Arabidopsis thaliana: one gene and its partner. The protein of the gene in region 2 interacts with the protein of the main gene of each other region in a pairwise test. Each region holds a gene or a part of one and is shown on either strand. Other genes may lie near its edges.

Region 1 (7,221 bases), on a different chromosome or scaffold from region 2:
AAGTAATCTGGGTAAATGTGAGAAAAAGATTGTATGTACTTGTTTACTGATAACTTGGTTGTGGTTGTATTGACTTGCTGGTCATCTTTCGTAGACACAATTAGCAACGGCAAGGCAGAGTCATGGATCGCAAGGAATTTTTGCTCGAAATCGGTTCAGAATACGAAGAGATCATATCTTGGAAGATGCTTACAATCAAATGAGTGCGTTATCAGAGGATGATCTACGGAGCTCGGTAAGTTCTTGCCCGATATTGGTCTTCTAGCAATTGCTTGGCTCACTACTGAAACAGATCCATATTTCGTCCCTGTGTCTCTCTGATTTGTTTATCTTTTGCGATGCTTGTGATGCAAATAACTACTGGCTGTAGATTCGTGTGACATTTGTGAATGAACTCGGAGTTGAGGAAGCTGGTATTGATGGTGGTGGCATTTTCAAAGACTTCATGGAGAAAATTACCCGAGCAGCCTTTGATGTGCAATACGGGTTGTTTAAGGTCATATGTCTAGTTTTGCTCACCCAAGTTTTTGTGGATTTGATAATTTACCTTACTCCATCATCTTTGCATTTAGTACGTCTATCTTTCTCTGAATATTGTACATGCTTTCTTTCAGGAGACCGCTGATCACATGCTTTATCCTAATCCTGGATCAGGAATGATACATGAACAGCATCTCCAGTTCTTTCATTTTCTCGGCAGTCTCCTCGCAAAAGTATGGTATTTGATTGGTGGCCTTGATGCGGAACTCTTATAATTTACCATTTTTTACTCCTGAAAACTTTTATATATAGGACAGAAAGCAAACTATAATGCTTACAGTGTACGCCACATTTGATTTTTAATACACTACTCGCAATGTTTTTCATGCAAATAGAATTAGTAGGCGTATAACTTGATGTTTTCCTAGAAAAATTATTGAATTTGTCCTTTTGTCGTTATTTAAAGTTGCTTTTCATCTGTTATATAAGACTCATAATTGTTTTTTCCCGTTATCTTGTTGCAGGCTATGTTTGAAGGGATTCTTGTTGATATACCATTTGCAACGTTTTTCCTCAGCAAACTGAAACAAAAGTATGTAAATTTAATTTCTACCTCAATTTCCTGTCACTTCATTCGTTTTTTAAGCCCGCATAGACTTTTTGAACATGTTGTGAAACTTCTATTGTTCTTTGGCTAGGTACAACTATTTGAACGATTTGCCTTCTCTGGATCCTGAGTTGTATAGGCACCTTATATTTCTGAAGGTGAGTTTTGCTGAACATTCTATTTAATTGTTGCTTTGTAGAACGGGGAGATAGTTGCTAGCATAGATGTGCGAGAATGCTGAAATCTGTTTGTTTGTTTTTGTTTCGAAACTGAAATTTGTTTGTTTACCTACCTACGATAATTTTGGCTCTTTTTTTTTTTTTTTTTTTTGCTTCTTAGCTTTATACACCTTTTTATGTATTCATTATGATATTTGCAGCGTTATAAGGGTGATATCTCAGACTTGGAGCTTTACTTTGTTATTTTGAATAATGAATATGGAGAGAGGACAGAGGAAGAGCTACTTCCAGGGGGCCAAGACATGCGAGTTACAAATGAGAATGTTATAACTTTCATTCATCTGGTTTCCAATCATCGGTTAAATTTTCAGGTACTGGGGAACCACTTACCTCTCATTTATCTTGGCATACCTGAGGTCACCCTGTAAATCAACAGCTATTGATATCATCTCATTTGCAGATACGCCAGCAGAGTTCTCATTTCTTGAGGGGGTTTCAGCAACTCATTCCGAAAGAATGGATCGACATGTTCAATGAACATGAGCTTCAGGTGCCAATTAAGTGTATAATTATACTTGCTTTGTTAGTTGTTCCCTCGAGGAGCATGAAGAGAGAAATTTTACCTTTGTGGGCTTTGGTTGCAGGTTCTCATATCTGGTTCAGTTGATAGTTTGGATATAGACGACTTGCGAAACAACACTAATTATGCTGGAGGCTACCACGCGGTGAGTGGTTCTTCACTGTTAGCCGAAATGCCATTGTGAATTAGTGTAGGGACACTTTTGGAGTATTGTTATATATGATTATATCGCTATGTTGTTGACACTTGACAGGGACATTATGTGATCGATATGTTCTGGGAAGTTATGAAAAGCTTCTCAACTGAAAACCAGAAGAAGTTCTTAAAGTAAGCAAACTTTGCAGTTACTACTACAGTCTGTGTACGCAATGATTTACCGGAGTCTATGAATTTTCTAAGGGAACTAAGAGGTACCTCTATTTTTCAATTTCAGGTTTGTGACAGGCTGCTCACGAGGACCACTGCTGGGTTTCAAATACTTGGAACCTGCATTCTGCATACAGAGGTAATATACACAGACTCACAATCGTTTTGACTTTTGATGGGCCCTGGACAATAGAATCATAAAATATCCATCCTCGATGGAATGTGTATCAGGGCTGCCGGTAGTGCGAGTAATGAATCAGTTGATAGACTACCGACATCAGCCACTTGTATGAATCTTCTTAAGCTTCCGCCCTATCAAAGGTTTGTCCTCTCATAACACAAACTCTTTGGTTTTGCTTAGCTAAGAGACTTGTTTTGTTGCCAAATAGCTTCTCTTGGTGTTGTAATTGGAAAAAGCAAATAAAGCATGTCTTGTTGTTAATGATGCAGCAAAGAGCTACTTGAGACCAAATTGATGTACGCCATAAGCGCAGAAGCGGGTTTTGATCTGAGCTGATGGAATAGCTTCCTGCCTTAAACACAGACTTCAATGGCCCCAAATTGACACCCTTTTTTCTAGCATTCCTCGTTATGGTATAAACCGGGTAACCTGTAGACTGAGGCAGGCTTGTTGGCTCTAAGCATCTAAGAGACGGATCTAGAAGGAGAACATGTAGTAGAGATTACTTGACTAATGGGTTTCATTTGCAGCTCTCGGGTATTCGCTTTCAAAAAGTGTGACAAAAAAAAAAAAGTGATTACAGGGAAGTCTTTATTTGGAAGCTCCTGAGAGTTAGTCTTGGGTTAAAAATTCAATAAAAGAAATGGTAAATAAGACTGGTCTCAAGAGGAACTTAAATGCTGTAAATTATTTTGCTTAATTAATGCATGTTACACAGAACATAGATGATTATTTTGATACTTATTTGCATCATACCATATATCTTCTATAAAAAGATGCATTTTAGTGACTTAGTGGTAAGAATATCCTTTTTTTTTTTTTTTTGTCATATGATAATTATTAAAACAGAAACAAAATGACAGAAAAATAACGAGAAATACAAAATGAAATTTAAACTTTACTTTCCTTAGACACTTGATTGTGAAGTCATGAAGGCTCTCCAAGTGCTAAGTAAAACTTAGACTGAAACCTTCTGTCTTGAATCACACTCCCAAGAAATGGAACGCGCGATCAGATTTGCGTTTGTGGCAATATGACGGAATGTACAAGATTCAAATGCACTAACAATCTCATGGATTTGTGTTAACCAATTTCTATAGAAAGGCTATTTGGACGGCTGCAAAACGGCGTTAAGTGCGGCTGGACAGTCCAACTCTATTATCACCGTGGTAAGAATATCTCTATATACATTTTTTGTCGCACTTATCATGATTAATCAAGTAAACATAATTGTTACAAACACTTTATAAATTAAAAAAGCTTCAATTCAATTTGCACAGAAAAGAAAAAAAAAAGAAGAAGATTCAATACAGAGTATACCAGGAGCATCTGGTAATGTTTATATCTGAGGACGTTTTATTTAATTTTTTGGAACGAAAACAATAATCCGACGATCGTATTTGCACGTCGCAAATCCGCTCTTTTAATCAAAGATCTCGACCGTCCATTTTTAGTTAAGACTTTAGAGAGCTGATAAGTGGAATAGTGGAGATTTGCATTCGCAGGGGATAAGGATCAAAAATGGAGGAAGCAAAGGGACCTGTGAAGCACGTATTGCTTGCTAGTTTCAAAGATGGGGTTAGTCCTGAGAAAATCGAAGAGCTCATCAAAGGTTACGCCAATCTCGTCAATCTCATCGAACCTATGAAAGCTTTCCACTGGTTAGTAAATTTGGATTCTGAATTGCTTCCTAGTGTTAGACATATGCTCGAGATCCGAAAAACACTTCCATCAACTCAATATGATTATGTAAAACTAAGCAATTTGGGGAAATTCATGACCTTCCTAGTGTTGATCTAATTTCCCTCAGAGAGAATCCATCTCCATTGATGATCTTTTGAAAAGTTAAATCAACTAAATCGACGAATCTGCTCTTGTCTTATTGAATTATTGGATCTGTATAATTTTAGGGGAAAAGATGTGAGCATTGAGAATCTGCATCAAGGTTACACACACATCTTTGAATCCACATTTGAGAGTAAAGAAGCTGTTGCAGAGTACATTGCTCATCCTGCTCACGTTGAATTCGCCACCATCTTCCTTGGCAGCTTGGATAAAGTTTTGGTTATTGACTACAAGCCTACCTCTGTCTCTCTCTAATTATCTTGTAGCAGCATTTTCATCATTGATCTTTTTCTCGGGTATGCATCTTGTATGTTGAATAAAGTATATTCCTTTTGAGTTTTCCTGCATTGTTCTCATGTTTCTCTGTGAATTTCTCTCTTTTTTGTTTGTTTGTTTGTTTCCTTCTGTTGTATTATACTTGATCTGTAAAAAGATCATGAGTTTATTAAGAGTGTTTGATTTCAGACTCCTCTTTGTTATAAGTCTATTACTAGTTGTTGTCTCTTAGTTTCTTTTATCAATAGAGTTGAGTTATATGGAATAACAAGTTGAAAAGAAACCAGGTTCTTGTTGATGTGTGGGTTGGAGAAAAAAAGTTCTTTGATTATATATGTAACATTTATGCATTACTGTTTAATGTAATCGTCTAATGAGTATGATGAAGGGAGATTGAATCAATCCCACTCTCACATCATGTTTGAGATGACAAGTACAATGCCACAAATATTCTGAAAATCACCACTGTTCTTCACAGCTGAAGGATCAACTTTGAAATCCGCCATGTCTTGTTCACATGTTGAAGGTCCTTCCATAGCTGCTGAAACCTTAATGTTCAACCCTTTGCCATCGCCTGACGCCAGGCTCTGCTTAGCATCATTGAGACTGCTTATTGCACTCTTATAATGTTGTACACATGAGGTGTATGCTTTCTTCATAGTGGGGTTGGTTGCTGTCTTGACTAGAGATTGAATTTTCCTGAAACCTTCTGATGCACTTGTTTGTGCAGAACCAAATGTGATATTTGCAAGCGTTTGAAGATCAGCACCTGAGGTCTTTGGGTTGGATTTCATGTAGCTCGTACAGAAGGATTGGTTTTTCGCTTTTCCACATATCGCTTTTATGTCTGCCACTTGTGCGTTCAAAGAACCAGTCATTACAAAAAACATCAGAGAAGACATTAAAACTCTGTTCGTCAGGTATGCTGCCATCTTTGCTTCTTTCTTTCTTATGTTCGTTGGTAGATGATGGTTAAGTTATTCCCTTACTATGCCTGACTATTCATATTTATAGATGCATGCGATTGATTGCTTCCACTAGAACTAATAATAGAAATGGGTTGTTACTCTTTCTGATTCTTAGTTAGACCACAAGTCCTTATGTAAGAGAGAGAGAAAACTTTGCTATTCTTAGCATTAGTGCAGAGACAGTTATCTGATTAGTATTCGTCTAACTTACTTTCCTGACTTCTCTTCTTTAGGTAGATATGCATTCACTAATATGTGTTCATGATTTGTTGGTGCTAAGAAAGATTACTGTAGGAAGAGGTTCTATGGAGATAATTGTCATAAATATACACCAGAAGTAACGAGAGATTAAAGTCTTAGCTGAGATGCAAGACACGGTAATTTTGACTATGAATATATTCATTTATTGGTCTTTAAGTTACTAGTACATCAGCGTGAATGACATTTAGTAGTTTCTGCCTTCTTGCAGGTGAAAGATACATAAAGAATCAAGAAGTCAAAACGTCGGAGAAAACCCTATCAATATTACACATTCTCTTAAAAAACAAATTGAGTTTTGCTACATAAGCCGGCACATTTCCTGCAAACTGAGCTTCACACACTGATATACTAATGAAGGCTTTAGCAGCCCCTTGAGATGCTAACGGGTACGCCTTAGAGGTCACAAACCCTTGAGCTTCCTCGATCGCTTTAATGGCTCCTTCATAATCTCTCACGCAAGTCTCAAATGGGATCTTGAGCGTCGGATCAGTCGTGGTATTCACTGAGCCTTTCATCGCCGCTAGGTTCTTATTGCCCAATAATTGCGTCTTTTGGAAGACTAAATCGAGAAGACCTTGTAGGTCGAGGGTATATGTTGTTGGATCAGAGATTAGCCAAGTGATGCAGAAGTTGGTGTCAATGTGCGGTTCTGTGCAGAGTCGGGATAAGAAGGTTTTTGTGACTTTGTCACTCGGAGACAAAGATGAAGACAAAGGGGTGATTGATAGAAGAAGGAGTAGAGGAAGAAGTGAAAATACGTTTCTTTTGACGCAAGGATAAGCCATTGTCTTGGCTGCGGAAAGATAATTATGCGTATACTTGAGAGTCTGGGAGGTTCTTACTGCATACTAATATTAATATACATAGTTTTTGGACGACAAAAGTCAAGTTTTAGCTTGGTGTTGTTGATGAAATGTTACCCAAATTTGTTTTTCTTAGTCAATTGTTGACTCTAATTAAACACCTTCTTCTTTAGTTCAATATAATTCGCAATCCACCGTTGTTATTCGATTGATTAAGTTAAGAAAAATATCTTTGACTTTTGACTTGGGGTTACAAGAAAATCTTACACTTTCAGGAGTTTTGTTTTTGAAAAGATTTCAAAATCTTGGGTTATTAAATATATATTATATCATACAAAACTCCCAAAACTTTCTTTTTATTTTTTGTGCAAAACAAAACTCCCAAATCTAAACATAGGAATTCTATGGATGAGTGTCCGCATTCCAAACAGTGTTTTATATCTTCTTTTGAGTATTGTTTGTCGTACGTACTATTCAACTATCGTTTTCGTAAGTTTTTTATGACAAACATAGTACATATTTAAAGGAAACGAATCATTCCCAAAAATTTGAAGCAAACTGAACACAATCAATTAGGGCTACAATCAATCATACAGAGTGAAAAAATCATATCGAATTTGGTTTATTCATTTATTGGTTTTAAGTTACTAGTACATGAGAGTTAATGACATTTAA
Region 2 (8,083 bases):
GGCTCAAAATATTTGGCAGGTTTTTGTTTAAAAGTCTTAGTATTTATTAGTATTGCTTAATTAAATTTAACAAAACACTATCAGTTAAAAATTGAATGACATAGGTAGAAAAAACGATGGGCTCACAATATTTGGCAGGTTTTTGTAAAAAGTCTTCAAGACACGTTAAACATTTGACATATTTCCATTGATTGGATTTCGACCAACTTAAATACACTTTATCGTATTTGCCAAAAAAACATGAAAAATGTTTGTATCAGTCAACAAAATAAACTGTAAATTATATATAAATATATATTTCTTTTATGGATTGTTACTATTTTGTATATTAAAACATATTCAAATTTTATATTGGAAACTAAATAAATTCATTTATTGCCTGTCTATTGTTTACTTTCATTGAAGAAAATATAACTGACTTACCAATCTCCACAATATAAAAAAAGGAAGTACCTTTTTAATTGTTTTTTTGGACAATTTGTATCTCTTTAGCGTTTTTTCCCCAACCTTTACACTTAATCACTTATATTATGGATTCATATTTTTCTGACTTTTTCCACTTATTAAATTTTCTCTTGAGGTAATTGATGCTTCAAAACAAAAATAGCTATGTATATATTATTTGTTCACCTACTAAACAATATTATATATATATATAGACATATTTCTTACCAGCAAAATATATTATTTAATTTGAGAAATATTAACAAGGAATATACATTATTGGTTTGAATCCTTTTCTGTGCGTCAATGTCCATTCATAGTAATAATATACTTCCCAAAGTTTGGTGTTTAGTTTCAATAATGTACATGTTAATCTATTATTATAAAACCATTTTGTATATATGAGTACTTAAGTGATTGTGTGGTGAGGTCTGCAGGACAAACTTCAGACAAAAGACTAACTGCACTTTGCTTAAAAACTCAGTCACACTTTTTGAAGTGCTTCTCAAGCTATATTTGCATAATTATATAAATAACTAATAAAAAGAAGAGTGCGGTTGAAATTTTAATATTAAAGCTATATATAGTTTTAGAAAAATATAAATCGAAACCAAATATATTGAAAAAGAATTCAAATATAACATGGTTCAATATTTTTTTGATTCGTATACAAGTTTGCCATGTTACTTTAACTGTGACCATAAAACCTCAAAATCATGATTTTTGTAGATTCAGTAATTATTTTACTAATTTACATTCGAATTAGAATGCGTCATACGACACCTTCCACTTTCTAGCAACGTATACTCTTGTCAATCATGTAGTCTTTTTATGCACATCATATCACGTAGAGTAAATATTAGAAGCAAATAATAAACAGATATTTCATGTAAATAGGTTTACCCCGAGTAGAGATTTTACACATTATAGAATAAAAATACAAAAGCAACAATAAAATAACAAGAGGAAATTAAGATTACCTAATCACATACCGATTAGGCGCAACACCTCTAGCTTGATCCAACGTAGTGAAACCTTCCCAAACCAATCCACTCTTGGGTCCACGTTGCTTGGTTCTCTTAGACTGCACCCATTCCCAAAACCAAACTACCAATCCCCAAATTATAAGAACCACGATCGCACCCACACCTGCGATCGTGTACGCTCTTGCGTTCGGCTTGATCACATCCCCTGCAACAGAGTAAGCCAAGACCATAGGAACGAACAGAGGGTAATACCAAAACATACTCTCTTGTCCTAAACTCAACAAACGTATCATCATCTCAATCGCAAAGCAGAACCCCGCACTGTTCCACAACCATAACCAGATAAAGTAGACCTCGTCCATAACCACTGAACCCGCTTTCGGACCGCTTGTTCCACTCTTTTGACCACCGCCATCAGACACGCCTCCGGGAGGTTGGAGAACCGTCTGATATGTAGCTGTGACGATGAGAGTTGCGACCACTAAAAGAGCGTTTCTTCTCTCTTCAGAGATCCAAGAATAAAACCGAATCTTCTTCGTCCGTCTCGATTCTCTCCAAGAAAGCTGCGACGCGAGTATATCCGATGTTGTCTTAATCTTGACAAGAGAAACCGAACGTTTTCCACCATGTCTCTTAACCATTCTCTCTATCTCTCTGTTATTGTGTAACACAGCAATGTCGAACACGGTTAAACCGTTCTTGTTCTCAATGTTGACGTTAATCTTGGAGCTCTCTAACAACAATTTCATAGCTTGACGATTGATCTCGTACGCCGCGAGATGTAAAGGCGTGTTACCGTCTTTGTCTCTTCGGTTTATGACTCTTGTCTCGATCCACTCTGCATCTTTTTGACACAATCTTAAGATCCATCCCATGAGAACTTTAAGAACGCTTAATCCTTCTCTTTGGTCGTAGTTATTCACGGCGATGTGAAGAGCGTTTTCTCCGTTCACATTTGCGTCCACAATGCTTTCGGGACAACCCAAGAAGAATTCTGACATCAGATCAATCTTCTTTCTACTTACCGCAACTAGCAATGGCGTCATACCTTTTTTGGACAAGAAAAATGAATTAAACACTCCTGGTATAACCAATCTAGTTCATGATCTGACCATACAATATCGACATAATGACTAGTCAAAAGCAACAATAGACTGAATTCAAACTAGTATTCAATGGACTGTTCGTCCTACTTCAATACTATCTCCAAGATTTGAATTTACTAGATACATATTATAACATTAGTTCGGATTGATTAGAGCTAAAGCTTTTGGAAAAAACTAAGAAACATAATTAAGGGTTCAACAAAATAAGTGAGTGTACGTACCATGTCTCCCTTTAATACGAACAAGACTTGGATCAACCTTAACTACTTCAAGTACTAACCAGAAGTGACCGTGTTCCACGGCGAGGTGTAACGGTGTAAGTCCGTCGGCGTTAAGTTTCCGAGCAAAAGATGGTTTCAAGTTCATCATTTCCATGGCAAACTCTGTTTTTCCATTGACGGCTGCCACATGGAGAGGAGTATTAACGAAGGGCACGTGGTCGGTTTTATCAAGAACGTATGGATCTTCATGGATTAGTTCGTATAGTAGATCGATGTTTCCAGATTTAGCAGCAGCTTCTAATGATCTTTGGTCCATTAGTGACTCAAGAGAACAGAACGACGATGCGAATTATATTTTTGGTGATTAAATATGATGATGAAACTTAATTGGCTACGAAATGATAACTCGTTTGTGAATGAAGGAAGTTCCCAAAAAAAGGAAAAGAGTGGGAAATTATAGGTGACGTGGCAGTATACGTGGACACGTCAGTATCTGATCATTTAATCCAACGGTTGATATTAGATAAATAAGAATTATTGTCTGAAAATTTGATGTGACATGGAGTACAACGTGGATCATATCGGCTCCAGCATCTATTTGATCTAATGGCTAAGATTGTACAAAATAACTCGCTGCTAAAGTGTTGAAATTCGGATGTGACGTGGCATTAAACGTGGATTAAAATCATCATAATCATTAATTTGACAATCTAACGGACAAGATTAGGAAAATAATTATTTATTACTAATCTAAGTTTATTTATTAAAAAAGCACCAAAAAGACTAGCCGTTATTAGAGAGCGTCCAAAGAGCGCCGCAACGGTCACATTTTTCCCCCAAATCTATCTTCTTATTCGATTTACAATACTCCATAGCAAGAACAAACCCTAATTCTTCACCTCCGATCAATTTTTTTTTTGTTGGAGAGATTCTCAAATCTAGATCGATTACTGTTCGTGTTACTCTCTTGATTCCAGATTCTGTTATCTTCGATGGAGTCGTTGACATTGAAGAATGGGAAAGCAGGGACTCCGGTGAAGGATCGGAGCAAGTTTCAGTCCAATCAAAAGATTTCCAGATCATCGGAGAATGCAAACCCTAACATTTCACAAGCGAGTCCTTCTAAATCACCGCTCATGAAATCTGCGAAGAAATCAGCGCAGAAGAATCCGAGTCCGAGCCCTAAACCTACCCAGGCGGTTTTCTCTCCCCGGAATCGGATCAGAGAGAGGAAGTTTGTTGTGGTGGCGAAGAAGAATTCGAGGAAAGGGAAGAAGGAGCCAGCGATTACAGAATCCAAGGCAGCTGAGATAGATTGTAAATGCGGAGAGAGGAAGAAGGGGAACATGAAGTGTGTTTGTGTTGCATATGAAACTCTGCGTGCTTCGCAAGAGGAGTTCTTCAAAAATCGAATTGAATCAGAGGAGGATAAGGAAGCTTTGGAGGAATGCTGTAATCTCGGAAATGGCGATGAACTAGAAGGAAAAGAATCTGGAGAACCGGAGAAAACAGGCGTTTCCACAATGAAGAGATCAAGAGCTAAGGTGGTGGAAGAAGCACGGCAAAGTGTGCCTGTATCTGGTAAAGTGATGAATCTTGTAGAAGCATTTGAGAAACTCACTTGCTTTAGTAATTCAAAGACTGCCAACAAGATAGAAGAGAATCAAACCGAAGAGGATACGAAGAAACCTGTGAAATTGGAATTCTTGGAGGGTGAGAAAGAGAAAAACCCATGGAGTTCTTCGTTTTGTCCATCTGAAATGGTCTTAACAGCTAAGAATCTGGGTTTAGACCCCAATGCTTCGATTTCTTCGTCCTGGGACAGCACCCGTGGCAGGTTAGTTTGTTGTTGACTAAGAGATCTCACTGAAATTATGAACTTGTCTTGTTCTGAATAGTTTGATATTGTGATGTTTCAGTGTTTTGAGTGGAAGTTCAAATGCTGGCAGGAGAAGTAGAAGAAATGTAAGTGTCCTGCATGCAGCATCTGAATTTTCTTAGCTGTTTAATGGTTGTCTGTCTTGCTTAGTATGTCAGTATAGTTTAATAATCATTTTGATATTTCTGTTTATGGCAGAGCATGGAGTCATCGACTACAATGGGAAGTAGAAGATCAAAGAAGAAGCAGGTTAAGGTCACTTCATTGAAGCCGTTTAAGCTTAGAACTGAGGTATGAGTTTCTTTAGATTAAAACTAAAGAAAAATTTCGAATTTTATGGTGGAAATTGAGTCATGACAGTTGGTTGGTCTTTTGTCTCTCTGCAGCAAAGAGGTAAAGTGAAAGAGGAAGAGTTAGCAAAAAAGATACACGAAATAACAATGGAGGAAGAAAAGATGAGAATCCCCATTGCTCAAGGTCTTCCATGGACAACCGATGAACCTGAGGTAAGCATGTTCTGCTTTCCTATTAACATCTCAATTGATCTTGTAAGCTCTAGTAGTAACAATAGTGAGAGATGATGTCTTGTTGACTATGAAAAGTTCTAATGTTGTTTTCTGTTTCAGTGCCTAGTGAAGCCTCATTGGAAAGACATTACAAGACCAGTCGACTTGACGCTCCACTCAGATGTCCGGGCAGTTGAACGCGCAGAATTTGATTACCAGGTAACCTTGCTAATGCAATGATTAAATCTACATTTTGTTGGGCTTGAAGTTCAAGATACCTTAAAACATAGCCGCTGACATGATTTGGCTTCAGTAACCATTTCATTCTGTCAAATCATTTAGAGTATACTTGTTTTCTTATCAGCTGGTTGTGTTAAGACTTGAGACGGAAAGGAAAATAGCTGATAGTGTCAAATAGTGTGTATTGTAGTCTGTAGCCAAGGTTGACTTGTCTATAGTAACTTTGCATTGTTCCATAAATTTCTTCATGTTAAAGTCTGAATTTTTGTTGTTCTAGGTTGCCGAGAAGATGAGCTTCATTGAGCAATACAAAATGGAAAGAGAAAGACAACAGAAGGTAAACTTTAATATGAGATGTTGTGGCCATATCCGATAATAGAGTTTTGCTTTAACTGATTTTGATAAATCCAATATTGTTTTTAGTTGGCAGAGGAAGAAGAGATAAGAAGGCTGAGGAAAGAATTGGTCCCAAAAGCACAACCAATGCCATACTTTGATCGACCATTCATTCCAAGAAGGTAAAAGACTGGTACATAAATACTATCCTCTTGAATCTTTCTTATTATGAGAGCATGATAGGTAATATAGATATTGTTTTCAAGTGAGAAATATGTTTTCAATATAGTTTTCACAGACCAACTAATAGAGTAAACTTTCTTATAACAATGAACGTCATTGCAAAAGCTGACACAGTTGCTTCTTGTTGTTTTCTTTTACCATTAAAAGGTCGAGCAAACATCCAACTGCACCACGAGATCCCAAGTTTCACATACCGCAACACAAGAAGATCAGATGCTGCAGTTCATCTTCTTGGAGTGAAACTGGCTCCTGCATGAGCGATTTCCAATATCAGTTTCTCTAGAAAGCTTCTTTTGGATTTACTACTATATCATCCTTGTTCATATTCTCATTTTCAAAACTACATTACCTTTCTGTAACCAATTAGTTGCAGTTTCATAGATTTGACAATCATTCTTGTTTCACCTTTGTAATAATAATCTGGTCTTCACCCAAGAAAATGAGAAAGATTCCATATTGTTTGCAAAATCTGGTTTGATCTGGTTCAGAAAGATATAATACTTATCCTCCAGTTTGAATTTGGATTTAACTGACTTATCTTATGATTCAATCCGTGTTCCACCTCTCATACATTTGTTTGCAGAATCCGGTGTACATTGGTTTAGTTCTGGTCAAGAAACATATGTGAGTTTTAAATCATCTTCCAATTTAAATTTGTATATGACTGACATACCAGAAGAGTTTTCATAGAGAAGAGTAAATTGTTTCTTGAGATTTCTATGAAGAAGAGTAAACTTGGGATACAAAATCACTGTAAAGAACAAAACTTTAATAGCTTCATCAAATATCAAATTAGTTCGTCAAAATGAACAGAGCAGAAGAGAGTAGAGATCTAAAATCACAAAAGCTAAAAAGATCTATAACATTCTTGAGGCTCCTCCAAAGCAAGCATAAGGAGAACAACAGCTCTTCATGATTCAGCTGCAATACGCCCAGCAACCTGATCCAAATCCCGTTGACCGCTCGAAGTGATTCTTCTCCCTCTGAGACAAAGAATGAACAAAGGAGGAGAGATGAAAGTAAGTCACTAACAAGGTCTTCCTACGAAAAGTGCCTTTAGAAAGAAATAAGAATTACCCTTTAGTGTCAAGCTCGACAATGCTCATTGTCTCCAACTGTTGGAGAATATGGCGAGCAATACCACCACTGCTCTTACAGAAATGTGGTGGTCGACTTCCATTTCTTTTGCTACCTCCATAAATTCTTCTGAAAGCACCAACACCAAGACCTCCTCTCAAGTAAATCTTTCTGGCCATAGAAGCTGCACCATACAAGATATCAACAACGTTCATAACGACTCTATAAAAACAAAAACAAGCGAAGAGAAAGCTAAGCTTTTTTTTACCAGCTCTAATGTAGTACCAATCAGGGTCATATGGAGCAAGCTCCTTCAAACGACCAGTCTTCACAATGTCTGTCCATAGAGGAAGCTCAATCTAAATCAGACAAAAGAGACAACTATTATTACAGTGAATTTCCAATTAGCTGCCTATGATCACTAACATCAAGAATCTATCATTTCTATCTCTATTTCTCTCTTCCTCAGTCGTTTTATAGTATTCAATGCCTCAAAATCACACCAACACATTGAACTACAATATCAGAAGCTCCCTCAAACTCTCAATTGTTTCCTCTAAAACTCATTATCAGATCCTTTTGTGACGTCTTTCGATTCTCAGCTGAATCAATCAAACTTGAGAGAGAAGCATCAAAACACTAACCTTTCCAGATCGCTTGAGGTGAGAAGCGTAAGCCTTCACGAAATCGTGAGGAGAAACATCTTTCACGGTTTTACCAGTCGCCATTTCACGAATCACTCCGTTAAGTTAAGCCAAGAGCTTTCAATTTTCAGTCACAAAGTCTATATATATCTGAGCAATCAATTTTCAATTAGGGTTTTTTTCGGACACACTGAACCCGAATCGACCCGCCTAACCCATTATGGGCCATTAAATCTATTTAAGCGGCTTATACGCTCCGTTTCAGTTAAAAGTGTAGTTCAGTCTTAATTATTATTTTAGCTACTGAAAGTTATAAAGATAAGATATGTTTTTGACCAGAAGCCACAGACAAGTTTAGCTGAGTAAAAAACGCATGGTCTTGTCTTCAATAAAACCCCACC

Evidence for each region. Proteins that work in one complex are often made in the same cells at the same time.
Region 1: the proteins of AT5G15500 (region 2) and HS1 interact in a protein complementation assay, tested with the Arabidopsis thaliana proteins (one large-scale study listed by BioGRID).

The regions. Positions count from the first base shown.
Region 1 is NC_003074.8:5,878,404-5,885,624, forward strand, and holds HS1 (heat stable protein 1), read left to right. Parts: upstream 1-3,515; 5' UTR 3,516-3,562; intron 3,563-3,661; exon of another isoform or gene 3,662-3,673; 5' UTR 3,674-3,914; coding exon 3,915-4,054; intron 4,055-4,303; coding exon 4,304-4,493; 3' UTR 4,494-4,797; downstream 4,798-7,221. Other genes in the region: UPL6 (ubiquitin protein ligase 6), read left to right, coding at 95-235, 371-496, 615-713, 1,005-1,072, 1,179-1,245, 1,467-1,637, 1,727-1,816, 1,911-1,991 and 4 more; PMEI2 (pectin methylesterase inhibitor 2), read right to left, coding at 4,925-5,446; AT3G17225 (Plant invertase/pectin methylesterase inhibitor superfamily protein), read right to left, coding at 5,971-6,528.
Region 2 is NC_003076.8:5,030,371-5,038,453, forward strand, and holds AT5G15500 (Ankyrin repeat family protein), read right to left. Parts: upstream 3,171-8,083; 5' UTR 3,074-3,170; coding exon 2,758-3,073; exon of another isoform or gene 2,479-2,757; coding exon 1,421-2,478; 3' UTR 1,278-1,420; downstream 1-1,277. Other genes in the region: AT5G15510 (TPX2 (targeting protein for Xklp2) protein family), read left to right, coding at 3,750-4,594, 4,677-4,722, 4,835-4,927, 5,023-5,142, 5,263-5,361, 5,660-5,719, 5,806-5,900, 6,017-6,218; AT5G15520 (Ribosomal protein S19e family protein), read right to left, coding at 6,872-6,944, 7,039-7,222, 7,307-7,397, 7,683-7,766.